Linked DNA regions of Schizosaccharomyces pombe. The gene in region 2 interacts genetically with the main gene of each other region. Each region holds a gene or a part of one and is shown on either strand. Other genes may lie near its edges. The genes, in order: atg1, isp6 and atg13.

Region 1 (5,603 bases), on a different chromosome or scaffold from region 2:
GTTTATGTCCTTATGTACGGCCATTTTGGAAGGTGTCTCAACGGAGAATGACAATCTCATACTTCCAATGTACATGTGGGTATTGTATCAAGCCTTGGATTAAGAATGTTTAATTCCATAAAATATTTTGCAACATCAAAGTAAAATATCTCATAACTCTGATGCTTTGCAAATGACAAACAAAAGAAAAATACATATATGTGCTTATATATGAAAAAATAAACCAAAGATGTAATTCTTTGCATATTCTCTTTGTTACTAATTCGACGTAAATAGATTTCCTTTAATAAAATAAAAAGAAAAATTTTACGTATTGCCAGGCCTATCATTAAATCATAATCACCTTAACAACAGCATCCACTGAGAATACTGTTTACAAAAAACCAACGTGAGCAAAAAAAAGATGGCAGATGTGACTATGAAACGAATAAAACTAAAACGGACTATAAATTTCGGTAAAAATGATATTACAAAATATATGTATATATAGTTTTGCTATTCAATCAGTCATATATTTAAAGGTAATTGACTATTACAGTTCGCATATTTAGGAAGATCAAAATATTCATTTATTGAGAAATGTATAACAACGAGTATCTGAGCGGATATCGTGGCACAATTTTAAGTAGAATAGGTTGCTTCGAAACGAACAGTATATTATTTTTGCTTGCTTAAAATTAATTAAACAGTGTACGACTCGGAGCATAAGCATTTTAATTCCATTTATTAATTTTCCAAATTTCCTAGAAAATAATAGATTAAAAAAAAATTCATTAATTTATTTATTGCTACAAAATCAAAATTTTGATTAACTTATTATTTTTACTTTATTTTTTTTTATTTTTTGTTTCAAACTTCATTGCAGTATTATTGGCAACAAGCACTTATATTCAGTTTCAAAACTTTTTTTATTTTATATTCTCGAATTAATTTATTTATTTTATTATCACGCAAATACAAAATTAAACTATTCATGGTGAGAAGGTGAATTTTTTATAACGTTGCTTGTTTTCAGTAGCGTTTTCGCTAATGTTGACTTTAAAGTCTGTTTTAGAAATTTGGATTCCACAACCAATCTCGTATATATCAATAAAGAGAAAAGCAACATATTATGATTGGAAATTTTCTTTTAATTTTCTGCAAGAGAGTTCTTACCTTCCATTATGGTCTTCAAGTCCTCAGGGCATGTTTGAATACTAGTCATTGCCCAATTCCCTGTTTTGTAGTATTATATACATGCGTTTGAGCCAAAACTCACACTGCATAAAAAAAATGATATTCTTTTCTTCAACCATAAATATTATTATTTAACACAACAAATGTCTACGGCCATACCTAGGCGAAAACACCAGTTCCCGTCCGATCACTGCAGTTAAGCGTCTGAGGGCCTCGTTAGTACTATGGTTGGAGACAACATGGGAATCCGGGGTGCTGTAGGCTCCTTCTTTTCTTTTTTTTTTGTCTTTTAAATCCAGTTTACTTTTTTTTTTTATATTATTTCTATATGGCATGAAACTGGTACAGTGGTACAAGTTGTACATCTGCCGCCGGTTTTTTATCCAAATTTACCCTCTATTTACACTTGCATTTTCATCTGCCTCGATCACTCTATCCATGACAATCGCCTTTTCCAACTAATTTGCCTTTTCGCGGGTATCTACGCTTCGTCTGGAGTATTATCTACTTCCGTTCTTATCCTCTAATTCCACACACACTTGCTTTCCGTACTCAAATCGGTAACTGACATGGCAAAAATTAACACATTTATTTCGTCTTAACCCACTTTCGGCATTTTTCAGCTGCACAAAAAGGGAACAATTTCAAAGAATTTAGACACTACCAGCAGGTATATGTGTGTAAAATATTATAATTCATTGAGTTAATACAATTTCCTCTATAAACTCGCATTCTATTCATAGTGCTTACTCCCATAAAACTTGTTATCCCGAAACCATATCTCCTGTTACCTTTTACAGCCGCACCACGATCGCAATTTATTTTAAGGTATTAAAGCCCAGTGCGGAAAGTGCCTTTTACGCAGCTATATTATCAATGGCGACCCGCTATCCTTGCCAACTCCCATGCTATCAAAGTGAGTATAAAGGCAGCTAAAACCCTTACACCTGTCTTATCGTGAACCAGAAGCTGTATGAACTTACAGACGAGTACAAATCAAACAATTGGTCCCTATGTCATTCGATCGGAAATTGGACGTGGATCTTTCGCAATTGTGTATAAAGGAAAGCACACGGTAAGTAAAAGAAGCAACTGCTTGTCTGTTTCAATGGAATTTGGTGGCTAATCGTGTTGCAGGAAACGAATCGAGTGATCTCTATTAAAAGCGTATTGACAAAGAAGCTTACTAAGAAACTTTTGGAGAATTTAGAAAGTGAAATTTCAATCCTTAAAGAGATCCGTCATGTGCATGTTGTGGAACTGATAGACTGTATTAAGGCTGGGCGGTTCATTCACCTGGTCATGGAGTATTGCTCCCTAGGAGATTTGAGTTATTTTATTCGAAAGCGAGAAAAGTTTAACAGTATTCCCTCCTTAGCCTGGATCAACATCGATCATCCGCCAGTTTACAAGGCTGGATTGAATGAGACGTTGGTTCGGCATTTTACCCAACAACTTGCTTCTGCACTCCAATTTTTACGATCGCGTTCTTTAATTCATCGAGATGTCAAACCCCAAAATCTTCTTTTACAACCACCACCCACCGCTGCCTATCTGGAAGAGCATCCCCAGTTTGTGGGAAGTCCCAAGCTACCAATGCTTAAATTAGCAGACTTTGGTTTTGCACGTTACCTTCAAACGTCTAGTATGGCGGAAACTCTATGTGGCTCTCCGTTGTATATGGCGCCCGAAATACTTCGTTACGAGAAATATGATGCTAAAGCCGATTTGTGGTCAGTAGGTGCTGTGTTATACGAAATGGCTGTTGGAAAGCCTCCCTTCAAGGCCCCAAATCATGTCGAACTTCTTAGGAGGATTCAAAAAGCTAAAGATGTCATCAAGTTTCCTGAAGAAGCTTTCATTCACCCGGACATTAAAACCCTTATCTGTGCTTTGCTGAAGCAAAATCCGGCTGATCGTATCGACTACGACGGTTTCTTTTCCAGTATTGTTGTCACTACTCCATTAGATGACGCATCTACTTTGACCGGTAGCGATATTCAAGATGCGGTTAAGGAAATAAACATTCCATCTTCTAGTCCTGCCTACATAACCGATTTTTTCCCAAAAAGTAATCCTGGCGCTCCTGCTCCTCCAGGCGGTTTGTTGCGTCAAGCTTTCCAAGCTCAGGGGTCTAGTATTCAGCCCTCTGAAATTACCGGTCGAAGGGTGCCTCATCGCTATGCACAAGATGGAAACACTTTACCATACACCCCCGTGTTTCCTCCTGAAAGTGCTCCTGCTGCTAGCATTTTCCCTCCTCGATTAACCTCTAAGCAACCTATACCCATGGCATCTCCTGCTAAGTTGACAAGTGATACTTCGAACAAAAGTAGCGCCTATGTCGTAGTGGACCATCATCCCATAATCTCTTCTACCCAACTTTCCAATGAAAGCCTAACCCACGAGCAATCAATCAATGGTAACTCGCCTTCACCAAACGAAGGTGTTTTTCAAGGTAGTTTCTCTCCTGAAAGCGCTCCTGTAAATAATCATGCGTTTCCCCATACTAGCCGGATGCAAATCCCTTACATGAAACCCAATGCTTTCCCTTCTAATCCTACCTACATTGCTTCAACCCCAGTCACTCAACTACGTCGTGCGTTTGAGCAAGCTACAGCACATGTACCTCAATCTGGAGGTGGTGCGCGAAATAAAAGCGCTCTAGAACGAGCACTAAATGTTGCAAACGCTAGGCTTAATGAAGTTGTAGTGGATGGTATGACAGATAATGGAAACACATCCCTTCCTACAAAAGAAAGCAATTTGGATAACAATGTCAACATTATCCAACCTTCCTTACCTGACACCGGTAAAAGATTGCTTGATGTTTTAGAAAGTATAGCGATGAAATCAAACTCTGTCTACCATCTGGCTGAAGTGAAGCTTGCTCAAATTATTCCTTCTTTGTCTGATGAAATGAAGCCTGGAGATACACTCTTGGATAGACCTTTGACTCCTTTTTCATTGGTTATGTTAGCCAAGGAATCGTATGTACTTTATGAGAGAGACATTGAGCTGTTACAAGTGGCGTTTGACGGTGTTGCTGCTTTTTGGGCCAACTCTGAAGAACGTGCATCTCCTGATTGCCAACAAGCCATTGAATGGTTTCGTCAAAGGTATTCAGAAAGTCTTGAGAAATCCCAATTTTTACGTGAAATTATTATTTCTCAAAGTGCCGCACATTCTTTGCCAACTACCAAACCTGTGTCAGCTTCTCAATTAATTTATCATAGAGCATTGGACCTATCCAGAAATGCAGCCACTAGTGAACTGTCAGGAAATGATGCACAGGCTTGTTTACAAAATTACCGGCTTGCAGCACATTTGTTGGAGTCACTTCTTGAGAGTAATTTTTCGACTCCAGACGGTGCTAACGATTCCAATAATTCAGTAACCATAAGAAATTTGATTGCTTTGATAACGAAAAGGCAAGAACTTTTACAATCGAAACAAATCCAGGCTAATGTAGCCAACAAAGTAACAGAAAGTGTTGCGAAAATAACACTTGCCCCCAATCTTGCTTGAACACCGACGATTTCGCCCTTTTATTGAACAAATTCGCATATTGTATGAGCTGAGCTCTGAGTCTAAATTTTGTTATGAATTCGTTGTTATGACCATATTATTTATATAACTTTTTAATATAGACGTTTTTAATTTTGCTTTTTTTATACATAGGGTTGATAGTCCCGTATATTTAACTCTTATTTATTGAGGTTTATCTCTATTCAAATTTCGTGCATATTATTTTTTTTCTCTTAAATTTTTCAAACAAGTAAAACAGCTATTTAACGTATCAAGGCAAGAATCTAGTACTTTTTTGATTTCCAAAACAAAGATTTGTTTTATACGGCCTAGAGCTGATGACTGCATGAGAGAAACAATTAAACGAGTGATAATGTTTTTGTTCAAACGACCCATAATTTACAAATGTGTGAAAGGAAATTATTGTAACAATACCTCAAGAAATGGCCTTGAAGTCCAAAAGTCATCGTCTATCAGACTTACGTGAAGGATAGATAAAACCATTTTCTTCTTTTGTTTTACGGAGAACTTTTTGTCTTGTTGATGCCATTCTTGATCAATAGGCTAAATTAAATAAGTAAGCAAAAATTAATTTAAACAAAGTTTGTCGAGCATACCTCACGAATCCAAATCGAGCCCTTTTTGTATATCTCTGGTTCAAAATTATAGTTGATGCCGAATTTTGAGAACAAAATTTCATGTTTTTCTGCGCTGACGGTACCCTGTAAAGTAATTCACCCAAAAGGTGAAAGTGGTTAGTTTTTATTGAAAGGAAGATAAATCGCTAGGGTTTACATAAAAAAAAATGAGCTACTTACCTTTAGGTACTCCTCGGCTTGAGTGTTTGTGAAACCTCCTTTGAGTATTAACATCCAGAAGGTAGTATTGTAAAGGTTATT
Region 2 (5,071 bases):
TCGCGATAGGACTATCCGTCAACTGGAAGCTCAAATATCAAAATTTGATGATGATAAAAAGAGAATACAGAGCTCAGTTTCTCGTTTGGAGGAAAGAAATGCGCAACTGAGAAATCAATTAGAAGATGTGCAAGCTTCAGAAACACAATGGAAATTTGCACTACGTCGGACGGAACATGCTCTTCAAGAAGAGCGTGAACGCGTCAAAAGTTTGGAAACCGATTTTGATAAATATAGATCTTTGCTGGAGGGTCAAAGAGTAAAGAGAAGTGAAAGTAGATTATCCATGAGGTCCAATCGTTCGCCTAGCGTTCTAAGGTAGCCAAGCTTCCCAAAGACTCGACATGTATTTTTTAAGATGATGTAAATTATTAGTTCATGAATTTAAAATTATTTTATTATTACTATTATTATGCTCTGCGTCAACGTAACAAGTAACCACAAGGATACTTTAGTTCAAAAAAAAAAGTAAGTCGGTCAAGTAAAAGGCATTTTAGTTCGGTTTACTTTTTATTTTACCCCTATTATTTGTACAATGGTTATATGCAGCAATCACATTGTAAAAGAAAACTATGAAGAGATAGGCGGCGATATTAAATGTAGAAGAGCTCTTGCATAACAGCGGCACAAATATAAATACAAATACAAATAAAAGAAGAGGACATTTACAATTACACTTTAACATTGTAAGTTGGAAGAACATCACAAAAAAATTTCATTCAAGTATAAAAATTCTAAACGTGATTCAGTGGCTTGCATTATAAAATATTTATTGTCATAACAATCATTATAAACTGTTTGTAAAGAACAATCATAAAAGGAGCAAACGTTTTCAAAAAAATAAAACAATTACTCGATGTATTGAAAATCAAACACCGACTTATTGAAAACATCGAATGCATCCAACATGAAGTAAAATCTATTCTTGAGCACCATTGAAAGCGAGAAGGTTAATAGTGCTGCTACCAACAGGAATAGACAAGAGTACATCGTGAATACCCATCTTAATGATAGCATCTTTAACTTCGCTAGCGCTGGCAGCAGGGTGTAGGCCAAGGTAGTAAGCGGACAAACCTGCAACATGAGGGGTTGCCATAGAAGTACCAGAGATGGTGTTAGTACTAGTATTTGAACCGATCCATGTAGACAAAATGTTAAGTCCAGGAGCGAAGATGTCAACACAGCTACCATAGTTAGAGAAGTAGGCCATTTGGTCGTTTATAGTGGAAGCGCCAACGGTGATGGCTTTCTTAGAAGCAGCAGGAGATGAATAGCAAGCGTCATCATACTCATTTCCAGCAGCAACGGCATAAATAACACCGTTGGTAACGGCAGAATCAACAGCCATATCCAAAACAAAGCTGTTGCCGCCACCAAGAGACATGTTGCCAACAGAGGTTTTCTTGCCGGACGATTTGTGATGACGAACAGTCCACTCAACACCGGCAATCACATCAGCCATGGTACCAGATCCACTGGAACGGAGAACCTTGACAGCAACGATTTCAGCCTTCTTTGCAACACCATAAGCACGGCTAGCAATGGTACCAGCAACATGCGTACCATGACCATTGTTATCCTCATCAACATCACCAGAGGGAATGGTTGCACCCCAAGAAGCGCGACCTTCGAACTCAACATGATGAATGCTTACACCGGTATCTACAACATAAGCGGTGATGTTGTCACCAGCGCTGGAATCGTAAACATATTTGCCAATATCATCGTATTTGACGGATTTGTGAGAGATGCGAGCAAGTCCCCAAGGAGCGCCACTTTGAGTTTCAAGTTTCTTAATGCTGACAACTTGATCACGCTCGACGGCGATGACATGAGGATGCAAGCGAATTTGCTCAACAATGTTAGAGCTGAATTGACCAGAATAACCTTTGAAAGAGTCCTCGCCAAAGTCATAAACATGCTTCAAGCCAAACATGTAATTACTATCACTAGTATCGTAGTACTCATCTTCTTGAGAAGCAATGTCCATTTGGTGCATCTCCGAGACCCAATTAGTATGGGCTTGGAATTCTTGTTCGCTCAAATCAGGCTGCAAAACAATGATATAGTGAGAGTCCAGTCCAGTGGTATCGGCGTTGGAAGCAGACAAGAGAGGAGCGGCATTAGGACCAGCATGAGGTTTGTGCTTAGGGGTAGCGGCTTCGCCGTGGGAGTCGTAGAAAGCGTTATCGAGCTCAGGACGGATACCAGCATGGGCAATGTCCGAATCAGTCGCTGGCATCACTGGTGCAGCACAGGCAGTAGAAGCGAAGAGGGCCAAACCTGCGGCGGCAGAAAAAAGATTTGAATAAGGAATTCTCATGTTGATGCTGAGAAGACGAGGCTGTTGGAGGGGGAAGTGATTGTGATTGTGGTTGGGGTAGTGATTGAAGGCGGTTAAATTGCTGAGATTGCTGAACAGTAGGCAAGTATCGTTGTTCCGTGTTTACTTATGAAAGAAAGACAAGGAAAACAGATGACAAAGACTATTGAAAAACTAACTATCTATCCCAAGTTCAGATAGGAAGAAATCGAGAGAGATGAATAAAAGAAAAAAAAAAAGAATTGTGGGCTATATACAAACTATAGTAAGTAGTATATGGGCGAACAATGGGATTAAGAGTTATTATAAAGAAAGGGAGAAAGAAACTATAATAATTCTCTAACAATTACTTTAATAAAATAAAAAATTGCAAGCAAATGAAAAACACAAAGCGAAAAAAAACGACTGTGAATGAAACAAAATCAAAACTAGTGGCACTGGTAAATTCAATTCCAATGCAACTTGTTCTAAGACGTTTGACTTTGTAACGAGGAGCGTACTGATACACGACTCAATGGGGGCTACCTCTTTCGTTTATATAGTCTATCCACCACCCGTACCCTAACCCTCGAACATCAACAAAGGGAGTTTGGACAGATAGAAGCAGAGATTCCGTAAAAAAGCAGGCAAAACTCAATTCCAAATCCATTCAATTCAATTGTAATATAATTTTTTTTAAAAAAATTCTGTTCATTTACTTCTCTGCTTTCTCCCTTGATTATTCGTCAAATGCCACTGTTCTGCATGCATCGCTGTATTAGCACTTTCTCAAGCGCGCCCTCCCTTTCGCAATTCGTTACTTGGCTGACTTAACGAGTCACGATATGTTCACTTGACGTCACCCCTCTAATCTAGCGATACGAGGTGGTTAGTGGAGGAACGGTGATCCATTGCCTGTGATTGGTCGATAAGCTCAAACAAGTGGTTCTTAGATAAACTTTGAAAGGCCGGATTGGTAAGGGCCACTCAACTGCCACTCTGTTCGGTACATTGAATGATAACGCTTCATGCGCATTGCGCTGCTTAGGGCAGAAAAAAGAGCAATTCAAAGATATGGAGGAACGGAAGCCGATTCACTGATAACTTGGTAATCCACGGATACACACATTGATCGGGACATACATAAAAAAAGAGGTTTGCAAAATTTCCAAATGTATGGAAGCAACAGCATATCCATATTCAACAATATGCACTCAATGTCATTTCATTTTCAGAAAGGTTTATTCTTTCCTTTCATGACTAGTATTCATTCTACACAAACAGTAAACTGAAACGAAAACAAATAAATTATAAAACACTAGCACAATTGAATGAACATGACTCTCGGTGTTCAGCTAACGCCCACTCATGTAAACAAGTGCTTGATGAAAAACATCCATCCATCCATCCATCCCCTGATAAGTGTTTGCTACATTACAACAGCCATTCTATCTTTATCAACAAATTGGTTGGAGACATTTATTTTAGAGGAGAGAAGATTGAGAGATTGTGTGTGCGTAAACAGTTAATTACCGATGCATCGTATTTCGGTTATTGTATATAAGAAAGAGTTGCTAGATGAAGCAATGAGGGACTTTAAAATTCCCCATTTTCACTATAAAATCCATTTCTTCTTTTCTATGAAACTTTACTTATTTGTATATTCTTATATAAATTGTTAAAGAAACAGCCTGTGGAGTGAGATCGAGCGAGTATTCGTAGCAATCGCTGGCTCTTTCCTATGTAACTTTTCTTCTATGCAGCCATGAAATTTAATGCAGTACAAGGGATTTAATCAAAGAGTTTTAATGATGAACAGAATGCGTGGATGGCATTTGCATTTCTTTGTATACGAACAAACAACATGTGACAACATTGACAATGTTTGAGATTCCCACAGTAAGAGAGATTGGGCGCTGTGTTGAAGCTCTTTCATCAATGCGCTCTCATTCCAGGTGTCGTTTGGACTAGACCATCACTAATAGTTCAACAAGTTGAAACAATTAGCAAACAATACAGAGAACAATGGCGTTATATTGGAACAAATGAATGACGGTTCTGTATTTTGGTGGCGCCGTACACCCAGCAATTTTGAATTTGGGAGCTTTTGTATATATTTCGTTATAAGTACTTGGTACTTTGGAAACGAAACAATCTCTAATCGCTAAATATCTTGCCATCATCGGAGCTGTTGCACTTATCACTTTATTCAAGCAGCGCTTATTAGGAATAAACTAAAGAGTAACATAGTCAGATTTCTCTGATGGTTGGATTGAATTGAATTGAATTGTCGTCGATAAGCTATATACTCCATCTGTTTTGCTCTAACAAAGCAATATAATCTAGAGTGCTAATGTGCTATAGTGAAAAAATAAGATAGAAAAGTAAAAAACATATTTGGATAGGAAAAATGAAAGTGGTTGGTAGAATCCACCCCCTCAAACCAACCAAAAAAAATTGAAATATTAACGAAAATGAAATAAAGACATGCTCATCAAACGAACTATCCCTACAATGCTCACAGCCTTCCTTTCATTACATATCTTCCTTAACTTCTTTTATCGTGCTTTAACGCATTTGTTTGCATAGTATTACAGGGTTCGTTTTAACACACTATATGCTTTACACCGCTTGTATAGAATCGTGTAAGACTTTCTCCTTGTTGGTGTATGCTGAACTCTTTTTAAAATCCCCTGTTATTTGGTATTTCGAGTTAGCCTTAAACTGGAAATTTACCTCGGCTTTCAAGCAAAGCGTCTGGAAGCTTCA
Region 3 (5,932 bases), 2.3 Mb from region 2:
AGGAAATGACAAATATTTTTGAACGGCGTGTCTGAGGTTTTGAGTTGCTGTTTGTGATTGTCGCCTGATTTCTATTTCGAAGATTATAATGTTCCTGTTGAGTAGTCTTCGGTTTTTGCTTGTCATCTTGAGTTTCCTGTCGATCAAATGATGATTCCTCTTGATTGCTCGAAGTCTCCTGTTGATTAGCTTGTGGTTCCTGGGGTACAGCTTTTTGACCAGCCTGTGGCTCCTGTTGGGTGACCTTTGAATAAGCTTGAGGGTTTTCTTGAACAGTCTCCAATTTTTTCCCAGCATTCTGAAGCTCCTCCTCTTGAACTGTCGAAGTTTTCTTTTTGTCCGTTTGTGATTCCCCTTGAGTAATGAAAGCTTCATATTGAGAGTCTAATTGAGGATTTCGAGGATCCTCCTGGTCAGTTGGAAAGTTCGCTTGACCAGTGTGAGATTCCTGTTGATCACTTTCAAAGCTTTGCATTCTTCCCATTTCAATTGAATCAATTCCCATCTCCAGGTCGCATGGTTTTTCTTTTGACTTTGTAAGAATGAATGATTTGATTACTTCCTTCAAGTTATACATTCTATGTCTCTGTTCATGCTTCACAAGTGGACTTGACGATCTAGAAGATCTATTCTGTTCATCTTCATTTTCGTCATTGACATTTTCCGGACACGGATCCTCTAGTAAGGTCTTCTGAATATTTCCAGATTCTGAACCATCTTCCTCCATTTCTTCTTGCACGTTGAAAATGGTTTCATTTTCCAAAACGTAAAAAGACGACAATGATGTTGATGATGTATTCTCGTTAAGCATTTCTCCCATTTCTTCAACTTATCTCTATCTTATTAATTATTGTTAATATTGAAGCAGTAAATCTGTTTTCAACAGTCAGATAATTTATAATTGGGGAACCGAAAAATGAAGACTTCTAAATAAAAACAAATAGCAGCAGTACAATTAAAGCCAAGCGATTATATTGGATTTCTAAAAAAAATAGAAACACCTTGTAACCAACAAATTTGAAACTTCAAAAAGTAGTATTTTAATCTTGGTGATTTGGAATGTAAAGAATATATAACATTTTGACAATTGATGATGAAAACATCGCAGCATCATGACTTATGGCATCTGCAATTTAATAGCAAAAACAAAAATTAATTAAAGTCTCGTTTCTTTATGACTCCTTATATCGTTGGTAAACCAGAGTACGAAATTCAAGGTATTTTAGTACTACCACATAATTTAATTCCTTTTTTTTTTTAAAAACGAAAAGGGCTGAGCAAACCTAAGCTTGCAAAACTTAGTACTGCCAAAAAAATGAGCATTTTATTAAAACTAAGAGCTCTTAGAAGTCAGTAATATCCTTTTAACTTCGGGTTAAAATCATGACCATTACCTTTAACATCAGTTGCATCGCTTCAAACATGATAATACTGAGGGTTTTACATTTAACTTTCACAAAAGTGATAGAGAATGCATCCTAAATCAATAAGCTAGTGCTTGTAAATGATTTTAATTAGTTAATAATTACCGTACACTCAGCCAACATAAATCGACATTATTGTTTGTTTTCCATAAGCGATGTTTGTGTATTTGGGTTTTAAAATAGCGAATATTTAGCGGCTGTCAACAAACATTTCCTACATTTAGCAATACATTACGTATCATCATTTGTTGTGCAATAAAAAAAAACGGTTAATATCCATTTATTGACAATTTTCGAAAATTGTATGTTTATGTCCGAAGTTTTTTCGGATTAAGGGAATCATAAATCAAATAAAACTCAGATTACTTAATTACTTGTTGTAGGTTATGCTCCATTTATTGTGAATTTAAATTGTTCCCTTCAACAAGACTACTTGCAGCACTGTTGCACATAATCCCTTTATATTCCAAAATAATAGCTCACAAAACAAGATTCACCGCAGTTTAAAGAGCCTTTAAATATAGCTACCATTTGTCTTATAACGTGATCGAAAGAAATCGTATTTAACGCAACGCTAATATTTACCGTGCTTCGTTGGAGCATGGCATCTGTAGTATCTTTTGCCGCTTACTACAATACTCTGCCTTACCAAATACGAACTGCAAAACCAAATTCATTCAATTAGGAAAACTAATTAAAAACTGCTTTATCAATTTAAAGAATGAGCTAACAATCAAATTGTTACATTAAAAAATTAATAATTTATACTTTGAAGTTGCAATTGAATTAATGGAAACCACATTGATATGCCGAGACTTAATACGCAGCTTCCTCGAATGTATTCTGCTCCCCCTGGGCATAGTAAAGCAGTTTCAACTGAGTTAAATAAAGATCTATCATCAGTGGGTGGTAGGAGCGCTAAGCTGGGCCAAGTCATTCACGTAAGTTAAAGTGTGTATCATAAGCTTGCTTGAGGTCCACCCATCCTTTACTTGAAAAGTATTAACATTTACAAATAGCATTGTTTTTATAAAACCGGATTAATAATTTTGGAATCCAGACTAAATGTATTTGGGACCTCTCGTCCTCGAGAAAGTTCTAAGAATAACAAATGGGTATGTATTTTTGTTTTTCTACAATGACGAGTATCGGTGTTATGCGCTTTATTCATACAGTGGTTTTCAAAAAACTCAAGATTATTTATCAATTACTTATCAGTTTACGTTCATCTCGTGCGTCTGCATAGAGTTTCATTTTTAAGCTACAGGTGAATAAGTTGATCACTGTACTATTGATGTATAAATGTGGAATTACAAATAATTAAAAAATTCATATTTGCACTTAATTAACAAAATGTAGTTCAATTTGGAAATTGTTGAAACTGAGCTTTATGCCGAGCAATTCAAAATTTGGAAGAATATTGAACTTTCTCCTTCACGAAAAATACCTCCAATGGTTTTGCACACATATTTAGATATATCTGATTTATCAAAAAATCAAACCCTTTCTGTTTCCGATGGTACTCATTCTCACGCAATCAACTTTAATAATATGTCGACAATGAAAATCGTACTTGAAAGATGGATTGTGAATTTAGATGGCGAAGCCTTATCAACCCCTCTGGAGTTGGCTGTTTTGTACAAAAAGTTAGTTGTTTTATTTCGTTCCCTCTACACTTATACCCATCTTATGCCTCTGTGGAAATTGAAGTCGAAAATACACAAATTAAGAGCTCATGGTACATCTTTAAAAGTTGGCTGTGCCCTCTCTACGGATGATGTTTTATCGAATGATTTCCTTCCTATAAGTGCTCCAATTTCATCCTCGCTCGGAAGCAGTATTGCAACTTTCTCTTTCAGCCCTGTTGGTACACCAGCTGGAGATTTTCGCATATCTGTTCAGTATCGTAAAAATTGTCATTTTGAGGTTCATGATTCTGATGCGTTACTCTCTAACCAGTTGTTATCTGCAGACAAGCATCAACTTGCTGCTTCGAACAATTCTCAAGATTTTGAAGATGGCAAACAGTATGATCAACCACCTCCTTCTTTTGCAACGCGGTTAGCTAAGCAGTCGGATCCGAATTCTCTTTTACAATCTGAAATCCAACATTTAGCTAGCATTGAGTCTATAACAGCTCAAGCAGCTCCTCTTGTTACTATACATCCTTTCAAATCTCCGTCATTATCTGCTTCCCCAGGGTCAAATTTTGACAATATGTCAATTTCTCCGAAGGTTGCAGTCAATCGTTATATACATCGCGGACCATCAGCCACCTCTTTAAATAAATTTTCAATGATTTCTGATGCTGCAAGCAAATCAAGAGCAAAATTGCCACCTCTTACATCTGGAAGTCTTAAGCTTAACACACTTGACATTTCCAATACCCCGAATCTTCGACGATTTAGCAGTAGTTTCGGTCCCCGCGAGCGTAAAGAAAGCTTTAGCTCTCGTAATCGTTTACCGCTAGTCAATCATCCTATTCGTAGCATTTTCAAACATAACGTCTCAGAGAATCCTATAACAGATCATTCTGAGCATGCTGTTTATGATAGTGAATTTGCATCAAAGGATGATCTTAGCGGTTTTATTCAACTATTAGATAGTCATGCACATCATTTAAATGCTTCGGAAGGTAGCAAATCAAGTGGTTCATTTCCAGGGAAGGTACAAACTTTGACATCTGGAATTTCGCCAGTTGCTCACCCTCATAATTCCTTGGGTAGTAGCAATGAAATTTTTGACATCGATACCTATAATCATTCAATTGATAATAGCGGATCCCGTTTTACTGAGGCTGTGAAGCATAATCTTGGAAATTCTAGCCATAGCATCATGCGCCATCACACTTTAGGTACGCTGCGATCTCGGCCTTCCTTCTCTGAAAAATCTACCTTCCCTGCTCCCCTGACATCCATTTCACAAGCTTCCACGTTCCAAGGAGATAACCGGTCTCCAAGCACTGTTATTCCTCATACTCAAACTGAAGTACCATCAGCAAACGATACTTCAAAGCAACTAGCATCTCTTCACGATATGCGGAAAAGTCAATCACCAATTTGTGCTAGATCGGCTACTTCTGCTGGACTTCCGCGTTTCGAATATCACACCAGCTTATCCAAATCACTGGAACATTCATCAACGCCAGCAAGCCTACAAGCAACAAAGACGCCCAGCCCTTCTTTTGTACTTGAGCCGGGAATCCCACAAGAGTACAAAAAGCACTTTGATAATCTTTCTGAAGAACGACGTCAATGTCTTACTCCTTCAACACCTACTTACGAATATTACAATGAGCATAACCCCAATTATGATGATGATTTATTGTTCACAATGACTGATATGACTCTTGAACCCCATGATGTTTCAGCTATTAGGCTTGGTTCTCCCAAATCCGATGATTAAGCGAAGCCTATGTTTAGAATTTGGAGTGATATAGCATCCATTTAATGCACTCAACCATTCTTGTTTTCTTTTAATTTTTTAATAGTTTTTTTCAGCTGCATTATAGCTTCAATTAAGCTTCGTTCCATACAAGTGAATTTCGCAATATTCGCCTCAATTCATGAGCTTTGGGCAGCGATTGAAAATACTCATAATGTCTGACTGTACTTTTCACATTTACCATGATTAGTATCTACATATACTGTTTATCTAGCTAGTGTAGGTATTAATTGAAATTGTAATTTAGTTTCTAATAATTTAAAAAATCACAGTTATTGAAAATTTAAATTTACTAGTTAGCAACAGAAACATCATGAATAATAGTAATTTGTTAGCTCTGTTTATTCTGTGTATAAAATATTAGCAACGTATACAGTTTCAAGATATTAATACAATCTTCTAGCTGCGATTTGAGCAATGTAAAACGCTATGATGTTTTACCATTGTTTTGAAAAAAAGAGGATGTTTCTTACTTCCTGAATATCGAAAAAAAGCACTACTATTTTATAAATTGGAATGTTTAAGATTAGTCAAAAACTATTTTTTTACCCTGGAATGCTGCACTAGAAGGCATTTTTTGTTTCCTTTTAGCCTCCCAAGAGGGATGCAGTTGCTCTGGTTTTTGAGGTGTTTGGTGCTCCGTAAAAGCATTTTCACGAGCAGCACGTTTAGCTTGCCTTTCTTCATACTTTCTCTGTCTTTCTTCACGAATACTCCTTTCTTCAGTCGCTTTTTTTATCAAATGGTTAGCACCTTTACCATACTTTTTTTCCCAAATAGCTTGTCTAGCTCTTTGACCACGACGATTTTTACGCTTCGGGATATCTACTTCTTCTAACTCCTTTTCGACAAATTCATCATCACTTTCGACTGGATCTAAGAAGCCCGCTGTAAGGGCAGGCAGATTAGTATTGTTATGTTTGCCCAGAGGAATTTCCAACATCTCATCATCAATTATAGACTTCCTGTTTATTAAAGTAGCATTTTGAAGAGATGATTCTTTTACACCTTCATTTTTCATAGAATATGACATAGACTTGTTGATTTCTTTGTCCTCAGTATTA

The links.
Region 1: of isp6 (region 2) and atg1, changing one suppresses a phenotype caused by changing the other (phenotypic suppression), as found in Schizosaccharomyces pombe (one study listed by BioGRID).
Region 3: of isp6 (region 2) and atg13, changing one suppresses a phenotype caused by changing the other (phenotypic suppression), as found in Schizosaccharomyces pombe (one study listed by BioGRID).

The regions. Positions count from the first base shown.
Region 1 is NC_003421.2:849,151-854,753, reverse strand, and holds atg1 (autophagy serine/threonine protein kinase Atg1), read left to right. Parts: upstream 1-2,071; 5' UTR 2,072-2,149; coding exon 2,150-2,251; intron 2,252-2,313; coding exon 2,314-4,704; 3' UTR 4,705-4,921; downstream 4,922-5,603. Other genes in the region: dolichol kinase Sec59, read left to right, coding at 1-103; thg1 (tRNA guanylyltransferase), read right to left, coding at 5,125-5,268, 5,322-5,426, 5,523-5,603. UniProt on the Schizosaccharomyces pombe protein: Serine/threonine protein kinase involved in the cytoplasm to vacuole transport (Cvt) and found to be essential in autophagy, where it is required for the formation of autophagosomes.
Region 2 is NC_003424.3:2,542,602-2,547,672, reverse strand, and holds isp6 (vacuolar serine protease Isp6), read right to left. Parts: upstream 2,832-5,071; 5' UTR 2,324-2,831; coding exon 920-2,323; 3' UTR 692-919; downstream 1-691. Other genes in the region: Myo3-like myosin II heavy chain myp2, read left to right, coding at 1-322.
Region 3 is NC_003424.3:4,839,743-4,845,674, reverse strand, and holds atg13 (autophagy-associated protein kinase regulatory subunit Atg13), read left to right. Parts: upstream 1-2,071; 5' UTR 2,072-2,230; coding exon 2,231-2,365; intron 2,366-2,443; coding exon 2,444-2,539; intron 2,540-2,783; coding exon 2,784-4,829; 3' UTR 4,830-5,190; downstream 5,191-5,932. Other genes in the region: protein mug126, read right to left, coding at 1-820; BUD22 family ribosome small subunit biogenesis protein, read right to left, coding at 5,395-5,932. UniProt on the Schizosaccharomyces pombe protein: Component of the atg1 kinase complex that activates the atg1 kinase in a nutritional condition dependent manner through the TOR pathway, leading to autophagy.